Linked DNA regions of Callithrix jacchus. The protein of the gene in region 1 interacts with the protein of each later gene in a pairwise test. Links are inferred from orthologs where the notes say so. Each region holds a gene or a part of one and is shown on either strand. Other genes may lie near its edges.

Evidence for each region.
Region 2: the proteins of REEP6 (region 1) and LITAF interact in binary tests that used the Homo sapiens proteins (3 or more experiments, as listed by UniProt). The two-hybrid records come from large-scale screens. The link is inferred for Callithrix jacchus from reciprocal best matches to the Homo sapiens genes REEP6 and LITAF.

Annotation. Positions count from the first base shown.
Region 1 is NC_133523.1:1,412,065-1,418,625, forward strand, and holds the start of REEP6 (receptor expression-enhancing protein 6), read left to right. Parts: upstream 1-2,262; 5' UTR 2,263-2,344; coding exon 2,345-2,459; intron 2,460-6,232; coding exon 6,233-6,326; intron 6,327-6,406; coding exon 6,407-6,545; intron 6,546-6,561. Other genes in the region: PCSK4 (proprotein convertase subtilisin/kexin type 4), read right to left, coding at 858-962, 1,211-1,399. UniProt on the Homo sapiens protein: Required for correct function and survival of retinal photoreceptors. Required for retinal development.
Region 2 is NC_133513.1:17,478,222-17,484,677, reverse strand, and holds the start of LITAF (lipopolysaccharide-induced tumor necrosis factor-alpha factor), read right to left. Parts: upstream 3,914-6,456; 5' UTR 3,710-3,913; intron 1-3,709.

The sequences.
Region 1 (6,561 bases):
AGACGGAGTCTCACTCTATCACCGAGGCTGGAGTGCAGTGGTGTGATCTCAGCTCACTGCAACCTCCACCTCCCGGATTCAAGTGATTCTCTTGCTTCAGCCTCCCAAGTAGCTGGGACTACAGGCACTCGCCACCACACCCAAGAATTTTTGTATTTTTAGTAGAGATGGGGTTTCGCCATGTTGGTCAGGTTGGTCTCGAACTCCTGACCTCAAGTGATCTGCCTGCCTCGGCCTCCCAAAGTGCTGGGATTACAGGCGTGAGTCATGGTGCCCAGCCTGGCTTCTCTCTTGGAAACCACATCGGAGCCACTGCTCTCCCTCTCTATGCTATAAGCAGGCAGCTGTCCAGTCCTGCTCATGGCACTTCCCGGCCTCCAGAGGCTTCCCAGGCCCCATCTCATCCCATCGGCTTGGCATCTCAGGTATTTTCTAGCCCAATCAGACCCAATCTCTTTCTGAGCATCCGGACACTGCGTCCTGAGGGCACTGGGTAACTTCAAGCCTCCTACGCTTGGGAACCCATTCCTTGTAAAATGAGCCAACCCCCTTCCCTCCATCCTCTGATCTAGATGGTGGGGGAGGCATGCCATCTATCCCTCCTTACCAGGGACGCTGGGGCCCAGAGGAGGTGGGGAAGGGCAAGAGGTGCCCGCTGTGTACCAGGCCCTGGTAGGCATCATCATTTCTGTATTTGGGTCTCCCTGCTCTTCCCTGTCACACAGACTTGAGATCAGGGTGGGTCCGAGCCACAGAAAGCACACAGCCGTTCATAAGAGCCACGAGAATCACAGAAGGTGGCTAGGGCCCCAGGATGCGGCTGAGACCCGAGGGGGTGGCCTCCAGGCCAGGCTCACCTTGGGGTCTCTCTTCAGGCGCAGGCGGTGGCCCCAGTGCGGGGTCAGGGACTGCTGGACCACGCCACGGTGCCGCAGGTGAAAGTACTGCCCGTCAGGGAAGATCTGGGGATGTGGGGAAGCGGCCGCACGGATGGGACCCGGCTCCCCTGCTGCAGCCCCCGAGGGCCGGGAAACCCCCCTGCCTTGTCCTTCCCCACCAAGTGCCCTCAGAAACTGAGCTTGGCTGATGCAGGGGTGGGCTGGGGCTCTTGATACTTAGGAGACCTTGGGGGCTCCCTCCCACTTGTCGGGGTCTGGGGCCGTCCAGTCCCCTCGAGCCCCCACTTCCTGTCCATCCCGGTCCCACCCACCGGCCCCAGGTTGACGAAGCCGAATTTGCGTGCCAGGCGCTCGGCCTCCCGGTTCCCCTGGGACACCCGCACGGCCCAGCTGCTGACATAGATGGGGGCCCGGGACGAGGCCCACCCCACAGCCAGGGGGCCTACGAGGGCCAGGGCCAAGGCCAGGCGCAGCCATAGCGCAATCGGGGCGGGCCTCATGGACGCGGGGCGGGGAGGGGGCGGGACCTGAGCAAGCCCCTCCCCCGCCAAACCGCCGAGGGGGCCCAGGCGCCCGCCACGCCCCCGGCGCCATGGCAACGCGGAAGGCTTCGACTCCCAGGGGGCCTTGAGGCTACCCCCGCCGAGAGGCGCGAAGATCTGACAGAAGCGGGAAGGAGGCACGCCTGCCGGCCTTCCGCAGACCCACAGCCTCGGGAGCCTCAGTTCCCCCATTTGTACAACGACAATAATCTAAACCAGAGAAGGGGAGTCACTCGTGGTAACGCGTCCAGCACTTTCTTTGGCCTCGCCCACTTTCCCACACACCCCCTCCTTCGAGAATCAGCCCGGCCTCCTATCCGGCCCAATCAAAATCGCTCTATCGAGCAATCCCGCCTCCTCCAATAAGCCCCGCCCAATTCCCCGCCCCTACTAATCAGCCCCGCCTCCTTTACGGATCAGACCGCCCCTCCTCCGGCTTCACCAATGAATCGCGTACCGTTTCCCCAATCGGCTCGGATTTTTCTCCAGCCCCGCCCACAGGCTCCTCCTTCCACCGCGTGCCGCGCCTCACCCTAGCTCCACCCCCCTCAGCGTCGCAGCCAATAATCCCGTCCCCTGACACCGCCCCTCCAATCAGCTACGTCTCGCTCCCGCCCGGCCAATCGGTGCCCTGAACTGGTGCGCCCCGCCCTCTCCAGGCGGGGTCTGCGCAGTGGCGGCCGCAGCCCCCCCAGAGGGCGATGCGGCGGGGGAGACGGGGCAGGCCCCACCTCCTTTGTCCGCCGTGCCCTCCCATTGGTCCGGGCGGGGGGCCGGGGGCGGACACCGGCGCGGGGCCCGGACAGCTCGGCTCCCGCTGCGAGAAAGCTGCGCGCGTGCAGCGGGGCGGGCGCGCGGGGCCGCGGGCGAGCTCGAGCAGCCAACGCCGGGCGCGCCGGGGCCATGGACGGGCTGAGCCAGCGCGTGGAGCGCTTCCTGGAGCAGAGGAACCTGGTCACCGACGCGCTGGGGGCGCTGGAGGCCAAGACCGGGGTGGAGAAGCGGTATCTGGCTGCAGGTGAGCGGTCGGCGATCGCCCGTTTCGCCGACGGGCACATCGAGGCCACGGGCCCGGGGGTCGCGGATCGGACTCCCTCCCCGGCTGCGGGGTCCGGTCCGGCCGGTGGAGCGTGCGGGGTGACCGGGACCTCGGGGTCCGCCCGCGCCCCCCTTTCCAGCCTCCTTCCCGGCGCTGGGTGCCCGCCACGCCGAAGTCCGGTTCTTCCAGTTGCCCGGTGGCCCCGGAGGGGTGGGGGTGGGGATGCCCGTGACCCGCGCGTTTCCCCGTCCCCTGCCCCCCGTGGACTCCGGGAGGGGAACGGACCGTCCCTGGGGGGCTACCGGGGGGCTGCCCAGGACCCTCCTCCCGGCTGGCCTAGTCTCCTTCCCCCGGCTCAATGGCTTAGTGCCACTGCGCGTAAATATTTAAGACGAAGCTGGGTCGTCTGACAGCTGTGATGGGGGGAGGCTGGACTGGCGCCCGCGGAGCTCCAGATCCCGACACCCCGATTGTGACTCCATGTTCTCCTGGTCCTTTCCGCCTTGGTGACACTGTGCGGCCCTGCCCCTTTCCAAAACTGTCTAGAGCGCGCATGTAGCAATCGCTCCTTAAATGCCTCCCTCTCCACCTTTAAAAGTTTTTTTTTTTTTCTTTTTTTGAGAGGGAGTCTTGCTCTGTTGCCCAGGCTGGAGTGCAATGGCGCGATCTCGGCTCACGGCAACCTCCGCGTCCCGAGTTCAAGCAATTCTCCTGCCTCAGCCTCCCGAGTAGCTGGGATTACAGGTGTGCGCCACCATGCCCAGCTAAATTTTGTATTTTTAGTAGAGATGGAGTTTCACCATGTTGACCAGGCTGGCCTCGAACTCCTGATCTCAAGTGATCCACCCACCCCGACCTCCCAAAGTGCTGGGATTACAGGCGTGAGCCGCCGGCCCTGCCCAGCCTAAAACTTTTTAAAATTAACTTTTTTAAGAGACAGGGTCTCACTATGTTACCCAGGCTGGTGTCAAACTGGGCTCAAGTGATCCTCAGCCTCCCGAAGCTCTGGGATGACAGGAGGGAGCCACTGTACCCAGCCTTTCTTCCCTTTGTGTGGTGCTCCCAGCCCCACTGGCCCTGCCTTCTTTTTCAGGGAGCCTGGCAGAGTAACTCACAAGGATTTTCTCTAGCCTGGGGCGCAGTGGGTAGCGGGCAGTGCCACTTTTTTGAGCACCTCCTGCAGGCAGATCCCAGGACTCCAGTTTCCCCCGTTTTCCCACCATCTGGGAGTTCCCATGCCTGGCAGCCCCAGGACAGTCTGAGATCTGTTCCCAGACCCTGGAGGTCCCCAGGTGCCTGGTCCCATGTGCACAGCACAGCAGGTGGCATGGCCCCCTGTGCCTGCCCCGGGGAGCAGGCCCCTGACCTCTGCCCTCCCTTTCCACATCCCTGGGGCCAGTGGGCGGGAATTGAGGTCATAGAGCGCCCAGGAGGCAGGCAGCAGGGACGGGCTGGCTGGGGCACTGTGTTGCCAGGGAGGAGGCTGAGGTACAGGGAGGCAGGGGCTGCCTATGTGCCTGCTCTGTCTGAAGCATACGCCCCCTCCACCCTGCCCACCCCAGTCCCATCTGCTGCTAATCTTGGGGGCTGTGCCCCGTCCACACTTCCCATGTTCAAGGTCATCCTCCCAGTGCTGAACCTGCAGAAAAAGGGATTTAGGGGAGGGACGCCCTGGGAGAGCCATTCCTCCCCCACCAGGGAGGCCCGGGGAAAGGTGGCGTTCCCTCATCCCCCTGTATCCCCCTCCCCCGCAACCCCGCACCTCCTTTAAACCCATAGGTCCTACACCCCTGGGTAACATGAAGAAACTCAGAGGAGACAGTGGCCCGGAGGCCGCATAGCCTGCTGGGACCAGCTGGGGGACCCCTCCTACCCCGACCTTGGGTGCTTGTCGATAAAGACTGATGCTGGCCGAGGGGAGGGCTGGGCTGCGGAACTTGGGCGTCTGCCCTTTGGTCGGCAAGTGGCCTCTATCTCTCTCTGCAGATAGCAGCCCCAGGGGAGGAGAACGGAGGCTGTCCCAAGCCTTCTGAGCCCAGAGGTTCCCTGTGTGACCTTGGGCAACACCCACCCAGCCCAGTTCTGGCTGTTGCATGAGACAGTTCAGGGAAAGCACAGAACCTGGCACACAATAGGCGCTTAATAAATGCAGTTGTCACAGTCATTCTTTCCAGAGCCAGGTTCAGGATTGGGGCAGAGCTGGATGCGGACACACACACACTCTTCTCTCTGAAGACCCTCCTCACTAGAACTGTGTTACAGTAGCCTGAAGGCGCTTAATAATTGTACAGGAAGGCCAGGTGCAGTGGCTCACACCTGTAATCCCGCCCTTGGGACACAGAGGAGGTGGGGGGGGACCCTGAGGTCAGGAGTTTGAGACCAGCCTGGTCAACACGGTGAAACCCCATCTCTACTAAAAATACAAAAGTCAGCCTGGCAGGGTTGTACACGCCTGCGGTCCCAGCTACTCGGGAGGCGGAGGCACGAGAATCGCTTGAGCCCAGGAGGCGGAGGTTGCAGTGAGCTGGGATTGTGCCACTGCGCTCCAGGCTGGGCAACAGAGCGAGACTCCGTCTCAAAAAAATAAAATGTGCAGAAGGGTGTTTGTTCTCTTTGTTAACTTGTAACCATAAGAGGCAGGGGCCATTACTGCTCCCACTTACCGAGGGGGAAACTGAGGCTCCATGCAGCCAGAGCCTTGCTCGCTCCGGGCTACTGAGTGCACAGCTGACCGAAGGGGCCCTCCTCCGCCCGGGGCATTGAGAGCTGAGGTTTGCTGCGCCCATGACGGTGCCGCCCCCCGCCCCGGGGACGCTGGCAGATGTCTGTCTGTGGTTGTCAGGACTGGGGAGCTGATGGCATAGAGCGGGTAGAGGCCAGGGACACTGCCCAGCACCCTGGAGTGCCCAGATGGGTTTCTCCCCCTCCCCGAGGAAAACCACCAAGAATGACCCCCTATGCTAAGATAGCAGATAAAACGGTTACCTTTCTCGGCTCTGGCACTGAGTCTTGGTGACTGCCCCGCCTCCCTTTCCGGTCTCTGCCTTCCCTTATATTAAAACACTGACCTCCTTTCCCAGGGCCTCCCATCGGGCCTGGACTGAGACAGGGATCGTTGCGGATTACATCGTTTTTCTTTGAGATAGAGTCACTCTCACGCAGGCTGGAGTGTGGTGGTGAGTTCTCCGCTCACTGCGACCTCCGCCTCCCGGGTTCAAGCGATTCTCCTGCCTCAGCCTCCCGAGTAGCTGGGACTACAGGCGCGCGCCACCGTGTCCAGCTAATTTTTGTATTTTTTAGTAGAGACAGGGTTTCACCATGTTGGCCAGGCTGGTCTCGAACCCCTGACTTCAGGTAATCCACCCACCTGAGCCTTCCAAAGTGCTGGGATTACAGCCATGAGCCACCGCACCCGGCCAGATTACACTCATTCACTCGACAAACGCTTACTGGGCAGCTATTCTGCACCCACCCCACTGCCTGCCACCCCAGCGTCGGGCTCCTGCCTGCCCTTGGGAGCTCCCAACCCCGGGAGAGGGGGGACGTGGAGACACGGACCAGTTACAGGTGAAAGGCTCAGGCTTAGGGCCGCGATGGGGGGTGCAGAGTTTGTGGGCAGTGGTGACACCCTAGAGGCGTCACGGAGGCTTCTGGGAGGAGGTGACGGTTGCAGACTCCCAAGAGGAAGCCTGGTGCCGTCACGGGGGTCAGAGGGTCCCTGGCCCCGGCCCACCGCCTCCTCTCTCCGGCAGGAGCCGTCACTCTGCTAAGCCTGTATCTGCTGTTCGGCTACGGAGCGTCTCTGCTGTGCAATCTCATCGGATTTGTATACCCCGCATATGCTTCGTGAGTGCGCAGCTGGCTACGTGCGTGGGGGGCTGGGGGGGTTCCCGGGCAGCCCCTGACCCTGCCGCGTCTCCCGGCAGAATCAAAGCTATCGAGAGCCCAAGCAAGGACGACGACACGGTGTGGCTCACCTACTGGGTGGTGTACGCCCTGTTCAGCCTGGCCGAGTTCTTCAGCGACCTACTCCTGTCCTGGTTCCCTTTCTACTACGTGGGCAAGGTGGGCCCTGCCAGGG
Region 2 (6,456 bases), on another chromosome or scaffold:
CCAGAGCAACTGCATCTTGAATATGGGCTGGGCAAAGTGAGGCTGAAAGCCACTGGGCTGCACTCCCAGACGGTGAGACATTCTAAGTCACAGGGTAAGATAGGAGGTCATACAAGATACAGGTCTAAAGATCTTGCTGCTGGGCGTGGTGACTCACGCTTGTAATCCCAGCACTTTGGGAGGCCGAGGCAGGTGGATCACGAGGTCAGGAGATCAAGACCATCTCAGCCAACATGGTGAAACCCTGTCTCTACTAAAAATACAAAAATTAGCTGGGTATAGTGGCGCGTGCCTGTATACTCAGGAGGCAGAGCTTGCCGTGAGCCACGATTGTGCCACTGCATTCTAACCTGGTGACAGAGCGAGACTCCATCTCTAAAAAAAAAAAAAAAAAATAGGCTGGGCACAGTGGCTCACGCCTGTAATCCCAGCACTTTGAAAGGCCAAGGCAGGTGGATCACGAGGTCAAGAGTTTGAGACCAGTCTGGCTAACACAGTGAAAACCCATCTCCACTAAAAATACAAAAAATTAGCCGGGTATGGTGGTGTGCATCTGTAATCTCAGCTACTCGAGGGGCTGAGGTGGGAGAATCACAGGAAACCAGGAGGCAGAGGCTGCAGTGAGCCGAGATCACGCCATTGCACTCCAGTCTGGGCGACAATGCCAGACTCTGTCTCAAAAATAATAATAATAATAAAAGACCTTGCTGACTGAACGGGTTGCAGTAAAAGAGCCGGCCAAATCCCACCAAAACCAAGATGGCGACGAGGGTGACCTCTGGTCGTCCTCACTGCTGCACTCCCACCAGCGCCATGACAGTTTACAAATGCCATGGCAACATCAGAAAGTTACCCTATAGTCTAAAAAGGAGGCATGAGTAATCCACCCCTTGTTCAGCATATAATCAAGAAATCACCATAAAAATGGCCAGCAGTGCCCTCAGGTCCGCTCTGTCTAGGGAGAGGCCATTCTTTATTCCTTTTCTTTCCTAATAACCTTGCTTCCACTTTACTCCACCTGCTTCCCCTGAAGGCTTTCTTATAAGAGATCCAAGAACCCTCTCTGGGGGTCTGGATCGGGACTCCTTTCCCCACCTGAAAGGGTCGTTGGGAGGACTGAGTTGGTGCATGCGCAGCACTCACACCCTGGAACACAGGAAGTGCCACATATGTGTTTGCTGTCATTAGTGGCATCATACACACAGACATGTAAGGCCACTTAGCAATACACAGACACAGGCAGAGGGACGTATGGAACCTCAGCAACTCACACACAAATAGGCAGGAATACACATGTGCAGAGACAGGCACTTCTGCACACGTGCACACAGATGAAACCATCTTCGCAAAAATTTTAACGGAAAATTGTCACTGTGTAGGAGATCTGATTTAACCAGCCCCCATCTTGTCTTTCACCTGCAAACTGCTCTCCATCATTCCTGGGCTTGGGACTAACTAACTCTGGGGAACATTTAGTTTATAGTTTAAGTGACCATTTTGGTTTTGGTGTATTGTTTTGTTTTGCTTTGAGAGAGTGTTGCTCTGTTATCTAAGCTGGAGTGCAGTGGTGTGATCTTGACTCACTATAACCTCCGCCTCCCAGGTTCAAGCGATTCTCCAGCCTCAGCCTCCTGAGTAGCTGGGACTACAGGCACGTGCCACCACTAATTTTTATATATTTTAATAGAGACAGTGTTTCACCATGTTGGTCAGGATGGTCTTGATCTCTTGACCTCATGATCCACCCGCCTCAGCCTCCCAAAGTGCTGGGATTACAGGCATGAGCCACCACACCCAGCTTTAGTGCATAGTTTAATGATAATGATTCCCTTCCCAAAACTCGACTGCTTTTGTAAAGCTAACAAAAGACCACCAGGTTAGGAAGCTAAAGAATGAGAGAAAGCTAAATTCTGCTATATGTCGAGATACATGATTACCAGCCATTATTCCAGAGGTCACAAGATTTACGACTTCCCCTGTCACCCCTGCAGATAACATCAGTATTGTAGAATCTAAGATCAGCCTTTTGAAATGTCTTTTCAGGTTTTTGCATTTCTGACAAGTACTGAGGACTCAGCGCACACAAGGACCATTTTCCACACACCTATCATTGTCTCTCCAGCCAATCAGCAGCACTCATTCCTGGCTAGCCAAACTGTCCTTGAACAACCCTAGCCTCTGCATTTTCAGGGAGACTGACTTCAGTCATAAAACTCCAGTATCAGCCAGTCAAGGTGTAATCCTAGCACTTTGGGAAGCCAAAGTTGTTTGGAAAACTCTGTCCCTGTCGTGAAAGCCTTCCCCCTCCCACACAAAGGGACTCCCTTATCTCTCACTCTACATACCGTCCTGGCCTTCCCGCCCGGCCACAGCCACCTCCCGCCCGGCAACCGGCTGACCAATCACCACCCGCCTCATCAGCTCTCCCCAACTTCCTGCCTCCCGGCTTCCCGCCTCCCAGTTTCCTGCCGCCCAGCTTCCCGCCCAGCGGTTTAAACTGACCAACCGTTGCCCGCCACCTCGGCTCTCTCGGCTTCCCCACTCCCTCAGCCCTTCAGCTCCCTATAAAAGAACTCTGCTCCTCTGAGCGGCGCGGCCATTTTCATGTGCTTCCCGGCTGGTCCGCCCGGAGGCTCTTTCCTCTCAATAAAGCCTGAACTTAAGACTTTCTTCTAACCTGCGGCCCAGTTTTTTTCTGAACGAGCTCTGATCTTCCCATAGAGGGTAGGTCGGACAAGTGGTGCCGAAACCCGGGAGTTGGGGCCGCTGGCCCGGCCATGGCCCCCTCCCCCCGACCTACCCAACACTGGCCCTGCCACCTCTGCGCTCCGATTAAGGTAAGCCAAGTTTTTTCTAGCTTTACCTTCTCTCCCCCCCCACCCCTCCTACGGCACGGTTGCAGCTGCTCCCCTCCGGCGTTCCACACGGACTCCTCGCCTAGTCTCGGCCGAGCCGAGGTAGTCCTCCGTTCCGGCTCCTGGAGCCTTCCGAGGGGTAGCTGCCAGACGGGGGACGCCCCTCTGACCACTTCCCTAACCGTCCTTAACCGTACTCCTGGGAATTTGCAACGAAAGGGGACGCCTTTTCTTTGCATCTACCCAACCGCGCCGGAGGGTCTGTAGCTGCACCTGCCATGGGAAATTCGGAGTCCAAAATACCTTCCAGCACCCCCCTTGGGTGCTTGCTGCGAAATTTTACCAAATTGGGATACTCCCAAACCCTCAGAAAGAAAAAGCTTGTCTTCCTGTCCCAGGTGGCTTGGCCCCAATACAAACTCAGTAACCAGTCACATTGGCCCCCGACTGGCACTTTCGATTTCAACACCCTCCGAGATCTCGACAATTTTTGTCGCCGCATGGGAAAAGACAATGAAATTCCTTACGTTCAGGCTTTTTGGGACCTCCGTACCCACCCCAACCTATGTTCTTCCTGCTCCACCTACCAAATCCTCTTAGCTCGTACCCCTCGTAAATCTTCCTCCACTACCTCTCCCCCTCCCTACTCCTCACCGGAAGATCTGCCTGAACATCTGTCCCCTCCTGCCAACCTCGGCAACCAGTCGCCTTCAACAGCACGCCCTTCCCCCACTCCCTCTGCACCTTCTATCTCAGAGGCCATGCCTCGCTCTTCCTCCACTCCCTCTGGGCCCCCTCCCTCGGAGGCCGCTCTTCCTCTTGCCTCCCCAGTGGCAGCCCACACCCGCTCTCACCAACCAACTATCCTGGTCCCACTCCGAGAAGTAGCAGGCACTGAAGGCTTAGTCAGGGTCCATGTTCCTTTCTCACTCCAAGACCTGTCCCAAATTGAGAAACGGTTAGGATCCTTCTCAGCCGACTCGTCCACCTATATTAAGGAATTCCAATACCTCACTCAAGCATACAGCCTCACTTGGCATGATATCCGCGTTATCTGTACCTCCACCCTCACAGTAGAGGAGCACGAGCACATCCTAGTGGCAGCCAAAAACCAAGCAGATAAAGATCATGCTATAGATAACCAGATCCCCTTAGGCCCCGAAGTAATCCCAGGTGAAGACCCCCCAATGGGACTATCAGGCTAGTCGAGGGTCTGATATACCCAAGAGGGACCGCATGATTAGATACCTCCTCAGGGGAATGGATATTGTATCTAACAAAGTTGTAAACTATGATAAACTAAGAGAAATCACCCAACTACCTGATGAGAATCCCGCCCTTTTTCTCGCCCGCTTACAAGAAGCCCTAGTCCGGTACACTCGGCTAGATCCAGCCTCTCAAAACGGAGCCACTGTACTAGCCTCCCATTTTATCTCCCAATCAGCATCCGATATAAAAAGGAAACTAAAGAAAGCAGAAGAGGGGCCAGAGACTCCCATCCAAGACCTGGTAAAAATGGCCTTTAAAGTATTCAATGCCAGGGAAGATGCGGCTGAGGCTGCCCGGCAAACTCGCATGAAGCAGAAGGTTGCCCTCCAGACCCAAGCCCTAGTGGCAGCCCTAAGGCCGGCAGGGAATCAGAGGCCCAAGGCCGAAACCCATACCCCTCCGGGGGCATGTTTCAAATGTGGAAGGGAAGGACACTGGTCCCGGGCCTGTCCACAACCACGGCCACGAACTAAGCCTTCCCCTGCCTGTCAGCTCCTGGGACACTGGAGGTCAGACTGCCCCAGCTTTCCCAGGGTGCCGGTTCCTCAAAACAGACACACTGGCGTTATGCAGCCGGCGGTCACCCTCAGTAGGGAGGAGCCTGCTTGCCAGGAGCCGACCTCCGAGGGGGCTCCATTCCCCAGTCTACTAGAGCTGCTAGACGACTAGCGGGGCCCTGGCTCCCCGACTCTGGTTATCCTCGCCGAGCCTAGGGCCACACTTCAGGTAGCGGGTAAAAGTGTCTCCTTCTTGCTGGACATGGGGGCTACCTACTCCATACTTCCTTCCTATTCTGGCCATCTTACCCCTTCCCAGGTCTCAGTCATGGGAATCGACGGGACCCCAAGTATCCCCTACCAAACCCCACCGCTCATGTGCTCATATAACTCCACTCCATTTACCCACTCCTTTTTAGTAATCCCCACCTGCCCAGTACCCCTCCTAGGACGAGACATCCTTTCAAAGCTAAAGGCCATCATAACCTTCCCCACCGCCAACTCACATAGCCTCTTTCTCCTAGCCCTCACCTCAGATACCGAACACCAAAAAGCCCTATCCGAACTACTCCCCAGAGTCCACCCTCAGGTCTGGGACATTAACAACCCGTCTGTAGCTACACACCACCAGCCAGTTCAAGTCCGCCTTAAAGACTCCTCGCCTCATTTTCTCTCCCGCCCTCAATTTCCCATCTCTAAAGCCCACCGTATGGGTATCCGACCCATCAGAGAGAAACTAAAAGGTCAAGGCCTCTTAATCCCCATTAACTCCCCATGTAATACCCCCATCCTCCCAGTACGAAAACCCTCAGGACAATATAGACTGGTCCAGGACTTGTGCTTAATCAATGAAGCCGTAATTCCCATACATCCAGTTGTCCCCAACCCATACACCATTCTCTCTAACATTCTCCCGGGGACCACCTGCTTCTCAGTCTTAGACCTAAAGGATGCCTTCTTCACTATACCTCTACACCCCAACTCCTACTTTATCTTTGCCTTCACTTGGGATGATCCCCTCACGAACATGTCCCAACAACTGGCCTGGACAGTCCTTCCACAAGGCTTCCGAGATAGCCCGCACCTATTCGGCCAGGCACTCACCACCGACCTACTCCACTGCAACCTCAAACCCTCTCACCTCCTCCAGTACATAGATGACCTTCTTATCTGCTCTCCCACCTGCCAGGAGTGTATCCAGGCCACCACCGCCCTACTCAATTTCCTAGGAGACAGGGGATACCAGGTGTCGCCAACCAAAGCACAAATAGCCTCACCCACCGTCACCTACCTAGGTATACAGCTCACGCCTGGGCGACGGTCCATCACAATCGACCGACTACAAGCCTTAAAAGTGCTCCAGGCCCCTGAGTCAGCAAAAGAAATCCTCTCCTTCCTAGGACTAGTAGGGTTTTTTCGCCACTGGGTACCTAATTATGCTTTGCTAGCTAAGCCCCTATACCATGCTGCTGCAGAAGCCCCCGAAGGACCACTTTCCTCACCAGGTTCTGTCAATCAGGCGTTCAAGTCACTGCTTAACACCCTATGTACCTCCACCAGCCTAGCCCTGCCTAATCCCAACTTACCCTTCCAATTATATATGGACGAGAAACAACACACAGCTGTAGGAGTGCTAGTCCAACCAGTAGGAAAGACCCTTTTTCCCACAGCCTACCTGTCCAGACAACTTGACCCAACTGAACGAGGATGGGAGCCCTGCCTTAGAGCCCTAGTGGCCGCTGTCACCCTAACCACAGAAGCTCTTAAGATCAATCTACAACTCCCACTCCCAGTCTTTTCTCCACACAGGTTGACCGAGCTGCTCAGTCAACACT